Cricetulus griseus: one gene and its partner. The protein of the gene in region 1 purifies or fractionates together with the protein of each later gene. This does not show direct contact. Links are inferred from orthologs where the notes say so. Each region holds a gene or a part of one and is shown on either strand. Other genes may lie near its edges. The genes, in order: Nufip1 and Znhit6.

Region 1 (3,810 bases):
TCAACAAGCTATGCTCTATGGTCAAAAGAGTTTAAGTATCTTTAAGACTAGCTTCTTGCCAGGCTACTCAGAAGGATGCAGAAAAGGATCAGGAGTTCAAACTCAGCCTGGGCTACCGAGTGAGGCAACATCAGCCTTAGTGATGAAGTGAGTCCCTTGAGTCCATTTTAAAAATAATTTAAAAGAGAGGCTGGAGAGATGGTTCCATGGTTAAGAACACTGGCTGCTCTTCCAGGGGACCCAGGTTCCATTCCCAGCAAATACAAAGTTGCTTACAACCATGAGTAAGTCCAGTTCTAGGGGATCCAATGCCTTCTCTGGCCTCCTCAGACACTGAGTACATGTGGTGCACAGACACACATACCAGTAAAATAGACAAATAATAATTTTAAAAAATTAATTAAAGACAGCTAGGGATTGTAGCACAGTGGCAGAATACTTGTCTAGTATAAGCAAGGCCTTAATTTCAAACCCAATGCTACAAAATAAAGAAAAAATTTAAAGCCAGGCAATGGTGGTGTACACCTTTAATCCCAGCACTTGGGAAGCAGAGGCATGATGATCTATGTAAGCCAGCCTGGTCTACAAAGTGAGTTCCAGGACAGCCAGGGCTACACAGAGAAACCCTATCTCAAATAAATAAATAAATAAATAAATAAATAAATAAATAAATCAAAACAGATAACCTCTTGTTTTTTTTTCCATATCTGACTTTCCTTCTTGTTAATTCTAGGAAAAAAGTACTGTGGTGGTTTGATTGAAAATGTCCCCCTAAGACTCAACTATGTACACTTGTGCAGCGTTGTTTGAAGAGGTTACAGAGATTCACGGTTATGGAGCATTTACGTTGAAGGATGTACGTCTCTGGTAGCTGACTTTCAGAGTTGCTAAGTCTTGCCTGATTTTAGCTGTCTCCTGGTTTACCAACAAAATGTGATCAGCTGGCTTCCTGCTGCAGCTGCCCACTGCCATGTCATTCCTGCCATTATAGATTCTAACTCTCTGGACCCATAAGCCACACTGAACTTTCTTCACTAAGTTGCTTCTGGGTATTTTATCAAAGCAACAGAAAACAAACTAAATGATTGTCAAAGTGCACCTTATCATTCTAATAATTCTACCTCAGTCTTCTGCTACAGGATCAAATACGTGAGAAGACAGTAACATGGAGTTCCAGGCAGATTTTTCACAAGTACATTGTAGCCAGACATCAACTCTGCTAATATATGTAAAGCCACAAGAAACACAGTAAAGACTCACTCACATCTCTTAAACATTAATTACAGGGATGAATTCCTGGATTTTTTACAGGTAAGGACACGTACATGGACATCTTGTTCACTGCTAAACCCACTCTACCTAGCAGAGAACAGTCATTCAGCCGTGCGTTTAAACAAATAATAAATAAATAAATATAAACATGACAATGTATTATACATTTAAATATTATTACAAGCTCATTATTCCCCCAGCCACTGAATATCTAGTAAGTGGCATGTTAGCACTCTTCGGGGTTCGTATAGTTACGGTACATCTGTTATTTAAATGCAAAGTTCCTGTAACTCTCCCCCAAACCATACCCAATAGCCTAATATAATGTAGGTTACAGTTCTCTTTCTTCATGTTAGCATTATGAAATAATTCGATGGACTTCACTATATAATAAAGATGCTGATTTTTAAACCATCAACTAACACTATTCTCAGTTATAATGTACCACTATTGAAGAACACAAAATCAAGCCGGGTCACTTTCAGTGAAAATGTCTACAACGCTATAAAAGACCACATTTCTCTTCTCATATTCAGCAGGACCGGCTGGCCAGCCATTAGTCTTGCCACAGACAAAGGAAGTTACTGATTAGTTAGCAGCTCTTTACTCACTTTCTTCTTTCTTCCCTCCACCTTGCAATCTCTTCTGGAGTGTCTAGCTTGATCTTCCTCATACCAGGAGCATGCATCTAAGGGCAGAAAGCCTGCTGAACATCAGGAAGCATAGTGTGTGCTCTTAACTAAATGCGACATTGTATCCAACATGAAACTTACAAGCAGAAAATATTTTAAGCTAACAAGCATTCTCACTATGCCTTATCCCTCAAAGGAAAAGCTTCTCATGTAGCTGGATCAATGCTAATTATGGGAGAAAGCAGCATAGGTTTTATTACATAGATGCATAACCCATTTTCTCAATTGACATTAAATTCCCGTGACCAACTAATCAAGCAAAACTGAAGGTGACAGATTAAAAAATTAGTAGACATGATCATTTTTTCACAAGTCTTTTGTTTATTTTGGTTTGTGCATGCATGTGTCATGTGTGTGTGTCTCTATGTGCATGTATGCATGAAAGTGCCCTCAGATACCAGGACACTGAATCCCCGAAGCCTGAGTTACAGGCAGTTGTATGCTGTCCAGTGTGGGTGCTGGGAACTGAACTTGAGTCCTCTGGAGGAACAGAGCAAGCTCTTAACTGCTGAGCCATCTTGTCAGCACCCAGCCACAGTCATTTTAAGAAGCATGGCATGGTCAAACCAACATAAAACTTGCAACTGCAACAATCAGGTCTGGGTAGGTAAGTCATTCTTCTCGATCTGTAGGAGGACCTAATAGCTATCTATTTTGCATGGTTTAAGACTAAAATAGAGTAAGAGATGTAAAACTTCCTTACAAAGTACAAAACACTGCATGAATATTACTATTGGCATACACAGAGAACACATTTACAACAGGTCAAAAGTCATTAAGAACTTACATTTTTCCAGTGAAACTGGACAATCTTCTCGTGTGCACTGAAAGAGCAATCGGCTTCAGGGCACTGAAAAGTTTAACAACAAAAAGACACTTTAATGATGGCCATGATTTAATGGTTCACACCACCAGGGATCTACACACTATGGTCGGCCAGTGATTATTCTGTGCTATCACTCCTTCATTCTTAGTCCAACAGCAAAACACAGATCCCTCTGAAACAGCTGCACTTAGAAGGAAATGGCATCTTTGAGATGAGCAGCACAGTCACTCCCATTTCCTCTTTCATTGAGTGGAACATTCCTAATTCCTAAAGGGGAGGCATTCCTGCAAACGATGTTTCCAAAACAAGAGTTTTCCTTAAAAAACAAACTTTCAAACGTTCTAAATGGCTTAACATTTTTAAATCATCTGGGTTATATTTAGAGAACAGCACACTAAGACAAATCACACAGTGAGCTGTAGATCAAGACAGTAGAAGAGGGAAAGTGCTCAGAGGCACTCAAGGTGATTGCAGGGGAGGCCCAGCTCTCCTCTCATGTAGCCATGGAGGGGCACAGACACAGAGGCTGCCACAGCTCCTCCTCTCCATGCAGCAGTGGGCTCCCCACCCCCAAACTCCAAATCCCAGGCCCTGTCCCTATGTGTCAAGTTATCAAACATTTCTTTCTGTAAAAACTACAAACTTATGAGGAAAATAAATTTGGCACTTTCACCAAAAATACAAATAAGAGGCCTTTACTACATTGGTTCAGAACAACCAGGAACCTACTTTTGTATGTTCAGACATATGTATGTCATATTTTTCTTGATTTTTAAAGCCACGATCACAGGTATCACAGAAAAAGTGGAAAACCGGTTCCTTTCTTTTCTGCAAACAAACAACAAAAAAAAGCAGTAAGACTGTGGTACAAAAAAATCTCTGCTCAACCAAACACAACTTATTCCAGGAATACATACTTGATTTAAAACATACTCTGGGGTGAGGGATTCTTTTATTTGTTAGCAATATAGCAAAAGTCAGACACGAGAAACAAAATTTAAATCTAAAAGGAGCTAATTC
Region 2 (4,491 bases), on another chromosome or scaffold:
GCCCGGCTAACTGTTTTGTCAAAACTGGAATCACACTACTTTCCAGTTATTTCTAACAGCATACCCAAGCCACCACCACCTCTCACACGTTGACACACACTCCTGAAACTGTTCTTCATGCTTCAGTCTTCCACTGTGGTTCCCTGACCCCAACCAAGCAGCAAGTCATCCTTTAAAAAAAAATTATTTTAGCCAGGCGGTGGTGGCGCACGCCTTTAATCCCAGCACTGGGAGGCAGAGGCAGGTGGATCTCTCTGAGTTTGAGGCCAGCCTGGTCTCCAGAGCATTCTAGGACAGACTCCAAAAGCTACACAGAGAAATCCTCTCTGGAAACAAACAAAAAAGGCTCATATACCGGGCCCTGCATGGCCTGTCTCAAGAGTCTCTCCTGCCTCTTGACTTTCTGAGGGTATTAAAGGCAGCACCACACAGTCTCCCTTGGTCCCTTTACTTAGCATGCTTGGGAACTCTACAACTTTTCCTAAACTCCATTTAGCATCCCTACCCATTCACTATGCTTCAGTTATCCTGCCTCTTGTAATCTCCAAACATACACACCAGTTCTCAGCCTGCATCTTTTTGAGTCAAAGTCTTGCTATGTCTTCCTCCAAGTGCTGGGTCACAGGCTTGTGCCACTTCTGTCCAGGTCTCTACCCAGAAGAGTTTTCCTCCAAATGACTCCTACTCTCTTTCACACCATTAAGATCAACGTCTAACTGGTCCTCAGAGATGCTCATCTCTACCACTGTGTTGACAATCATACCCCGAAGTTTACGACCTCACAGACTACTTTGTTTTCTTTACTCTTTTGACCCATCCCAATTTTCTACATGCACTTGAATCTGTAAGAAATTATATTTGCTGTTTCTACATCCGGCCTCTTCCACTTAACTAACAATACAAACTCCGCAGGGTAAACTTTGGATCTATCTTGAATAATCAGTACAGTCCCAGGTCAGGGTGGCCACTTGATAGATCCAAGAAATGAATAAACATTGGAAGCAATTTTAACTTGAAAAGATCAGAAGAAATCCTTACGTATTTTTTGCGCTTTGGTCTTTTCAAGAAAGTATCTCTTGAAACCTGGTCTGCAGTTCTTGCCACGTCTTCCAAAAACCGATAGTCTAGTAATTTCAGAAAGGAAAAATTAACAAGTGACATATGCCAGTGGCCAGAAAGCAGTCACCTGTTGTGCATAGAATGACTTACCACTTAGGAGATTCATCTCCGTAAACTGCTGTAGTGAGATGTAAGCGGTTTTATCTCGGACTCCATTACAAGTCAGTTCTGCTTTGTGCTTCTTTACGCAGGGCAAACTGCAGAGACAAACAGAAGGCAGTTTTATATCTGAAGTAAGTGGGAAGAGGTCAGGAATAAGGTAGAAAGTTACATATCTACCTGCAGGAATATCTCATGCAGCGTGGACATCTGTACTTTGCCTCTTCTGTCCCACAAGTTTCACACCTGTAAAATTCACCTGTGACTTAATACTCAAAAATTGACTCTACTCATGAACTTACAGCCTTTGAATGCTGAATCAAGCCTATTTACAGTTTACAGGCACGTAGTCAAAGCAAATAAAGCATATGTCAGCGACTCTGATCAATTCTTTTATAGCTGTCATTGAAAACTGTGAAAATGTTTGCAAATGACACAATGAAAGGCAATTCGAGAAAATATATATGAAAAATAGTCTGTTTGATTTCTTTTCTACTGTAATTAGAAATTAACATGAACCGGTGATTTTTGAAATTTGCAATTCAGAGATATTTTTGTGTGTGTATCTAGAAGCTGCATCTGGACATTTTTAAAAGCATACACACAAGCAAAACAAGACAGGATGAGGCCCAGGTAAACTTCATCGTAATGTATGCCCTCCCTTTGCAAAAGGACACCGAGAAAACCCAGAAATGGCGTTACTCGTCTGTTCTTAACAGACAGCCCAAGCTGTCAGGGGTAGAATCTTCACAGTTTGATCTGTGGGACCACATGAGCACACTAAAGAAACTACATCCAGGAATAAACATTCGTGGGGGCCGTGAAAAGGTTCAAGAGCAAGCTGACTGGCTGTCTATTAAACTCCACTCACTTTCTCATTGTTGGTTTTTATTAGATGTCCCCTGATTCCTAGTTTCTCCAATAGGCACAAGTCCTGCACAATCGCTTCACAGCTAACAAGCTCTGGTTCCACAAACGTCTCCAGTCCCCAGATTTACGCCCCCTGAGCTGACCACACCGTGTCGGTCACCGCCACTGCAGTGTCCCAGAATGTGCTAGCGAACACCACCATTCAGACTTGGGGCTCCCCCTTGGTGCCTGGTTTAACTGGTGCTCTTCACCGCCTGCTGCTGGGTGGCGGGGTCCACTCAACGCTCTGGGTTCCAGGTGGGTGTGCGCCCGGCCCTGCCCTACCTTGACATGGCCAGCTTCCTCTTGCAGCCCCCTCGGGGGCTCATGCGAGGCTCCCCCTTCACCCGCGGGCCATCCGAGCCTTCCGTCTTGAGGGAGCCCTCTTCTTTGACGCGCACCGCCTCCACCAGCTGCTCCTCCTTCACGTCCTGACCCCCCAACAGCTCCCGTTTGACGTCCACGCCCTCCTCCTCCTCCTCCTTCACTTCTTCCCAGTCCGGAACCTCCTCCTTCACCTTCACCTTCTCCTCCTTCACGTCGGGCTCGCCCGCCGCCTCTTCCTTCACCAGCGGCTCGCCCGCCTCCTCAAGCTTCACGCGGGGCTCGCCCGCCGCCTCCGGCTTCACCGCCCAGGGGCAGCGCGCCGGGCCGCCCTCGGCCCCCGCCTCCTGCTTCACCACCGCCAGGTCCACCTTCGCCTCCTCCGCGCTCGCCGCCTCCGCCCCCGCGGCAGGCTCCATCGGCTCGCACGCCGAGGCCGCGCTTCACCGTGGCGCTCGCCCGCCGCCGGCCACAGGGGTCCCCGGCGGCGCCACACGTGCGCGACCCCGAGCTCCGCCCGCCCGCCCGCACGCACGCACGCACGCACGCACGCACGCCGTAAAGCAGCCCTCCCCGGCCGCGGCTCTTCACGACTCGCGGAGCTCTTTACGGCTCAGCCGCTTTGCGTAGCGAGCACGCCCGGGCTTCCGAGTGACGGTCTGCAACGAGGGCACCCGCTCTCCCGTGTGCTGAGGGCTGACTCCGACCAGGGAGCCGGGCGACAGCAGCGGTTCGCGGCCCTCCCTCCGCACCCGCCACCCTTCAGTGCAGTCCCGGTGCGGGGGAGCCCGGCCCCGGCGCACAGCGACGCCGCTGCGCTGCGAGCCCGTGGCTGCACCCAAGGCGGAATTGCACGCTGATGCTTCTGCAGAGCGGGGTCTGCAGCCGGAGGGCCCGCCAGCCTCAGGCCGCGGCCTGGCTCTCGTCACGGAGACGCCAGCCGCCAGACGACGCTTTTATGCTCGGGCGGTGGCCGCCACGCCTTCCATCCCGGCACGCGGGAGGCAGAGGCAGGGGGATCGCTGTGAGCTCGAGGCCAGCCTGGTCTCCAGAGCGAGTGCCAGGATTGGCTCCAAAACTACACAGAGAAACCCTGTCTTAAGAACCGACCACCAACCAACCAAACAAACAAAAGGGAAACCGCCTTTAATCCCGGCACGCGGGAGGCAGAGGCAGGGGGATCGCTGTGTCTTAAAGGCCAGCCCGGTCTACAGAGTAAATGCTGGCACAGTCAGGGCTGCATAGTGAGGCCCTGTTTCAAAAACAACACGCGGGAAGTGGGGGGAAGGGAAGGAAAGGAGAGAGAGAGGGGAGAGAGATGCTCGTATCTGCTCCCGCGAGGATTTCATGAAACCATGCGTGGGATCACATACTACTGCCAGCAGCTGAAATCGCCGGTCACAGGCTAGTAATAGCCCCTCAAATCCATGCGCTCAAGCCCTTAACTCCCAGGACCTCACAATTCTGACCTTATTTTGGAGACAAGGCCCCTAAAAGCACACTGGTTTAAATGAAGTCATTAGAATGCGCCCGAATCCAAGCTGACTGGCGCATTTAATAAGAAATTTGCATACAAATTTGCTCACAGAGAAGGAGTCCTGGAGTGTGGCGAGAAATAAGCCTTCTGTTTGCCAATCCAGGTAGCCTAAAAGAGAAACCTCTGAACCCTTGGCCTTGGACTTCAGTAACTTCTTGAATTTCGAGAAAATGAAAACAATCTTTGTTTAAGTCACCCAGCTTGTGCTATCATGTGCTATCATTGACACACTGGCCAATGACCGTAAAGAACTGGGACATGCTGTTGTGTGACACTATTTCTGGGGAAGACGGGAGCAAATGTCTACTCGCCCCAGGGAGGGACCAACTACAGACCAAAGTAAGGATTCCAGGGAAGTCCAACTTAGTGAGTACACTGGGGTTATTCACACAAGTTTCATCCATAACCCTACAAATAACATAATTTTGTTCTAATTATTGGCAGAATAATACTGTATGTATATACCATGTTTTCTTTATTAATCTACTGTCAGACAGCTAGGC

The links.
Region 2: the proteins of Nufip1 (region 1) and Znhit6 purify together in Homo sapiens (affinity purification with western blotting; 3 studies listed by BioGRID and IntAct, with this or other methods). This does not show direct contact. The link is inferred for Cricetulus griseus from reciprocal best matches to the Homo sapiens genes NUFIP1 and ZNHIT6.

Annotation. Positions count from the first base shown.
Region 1 is NW_023276807.1:230,510,066-230,513,875, reverse strand, and holds part of Nufip1 (nuclear fragile X mental retardation-interacting protein 1), read right to left. Parts: intron 3,619-3,810; coding exon 3,520-3,618; intron 2,815-3,519; coding exon 2,752-2,814; intron 1,961-2,751; coding exon 1,884-1,960; intron 1-1,883. UniProt on the Homo sapiens protein: Binds RNA.
Region 2 is NW_023276806.1:13,622,412-13,626,902, forward strand, and holds the start of Znhit6 (box C/D snoRNA protein 1), read right to left. Parts: upstream 2,971-4,491; 5' UTR 2,871-2,970; coding exon 2,413-2,870; intron 1,465-2,412; coding exon 1,399-1,464; intron 1,317-1,398; coding exon 1,210-1,316; intron 1,125-1,209; coding exon 1,039-1,124; intron 1-1,038. UniProt on the Homo sapiens protein: Required for box C/D snoRNAs accumulation involved in snoRNA processing, snoRNA transport to the nucleolus and ribosome biogenesis.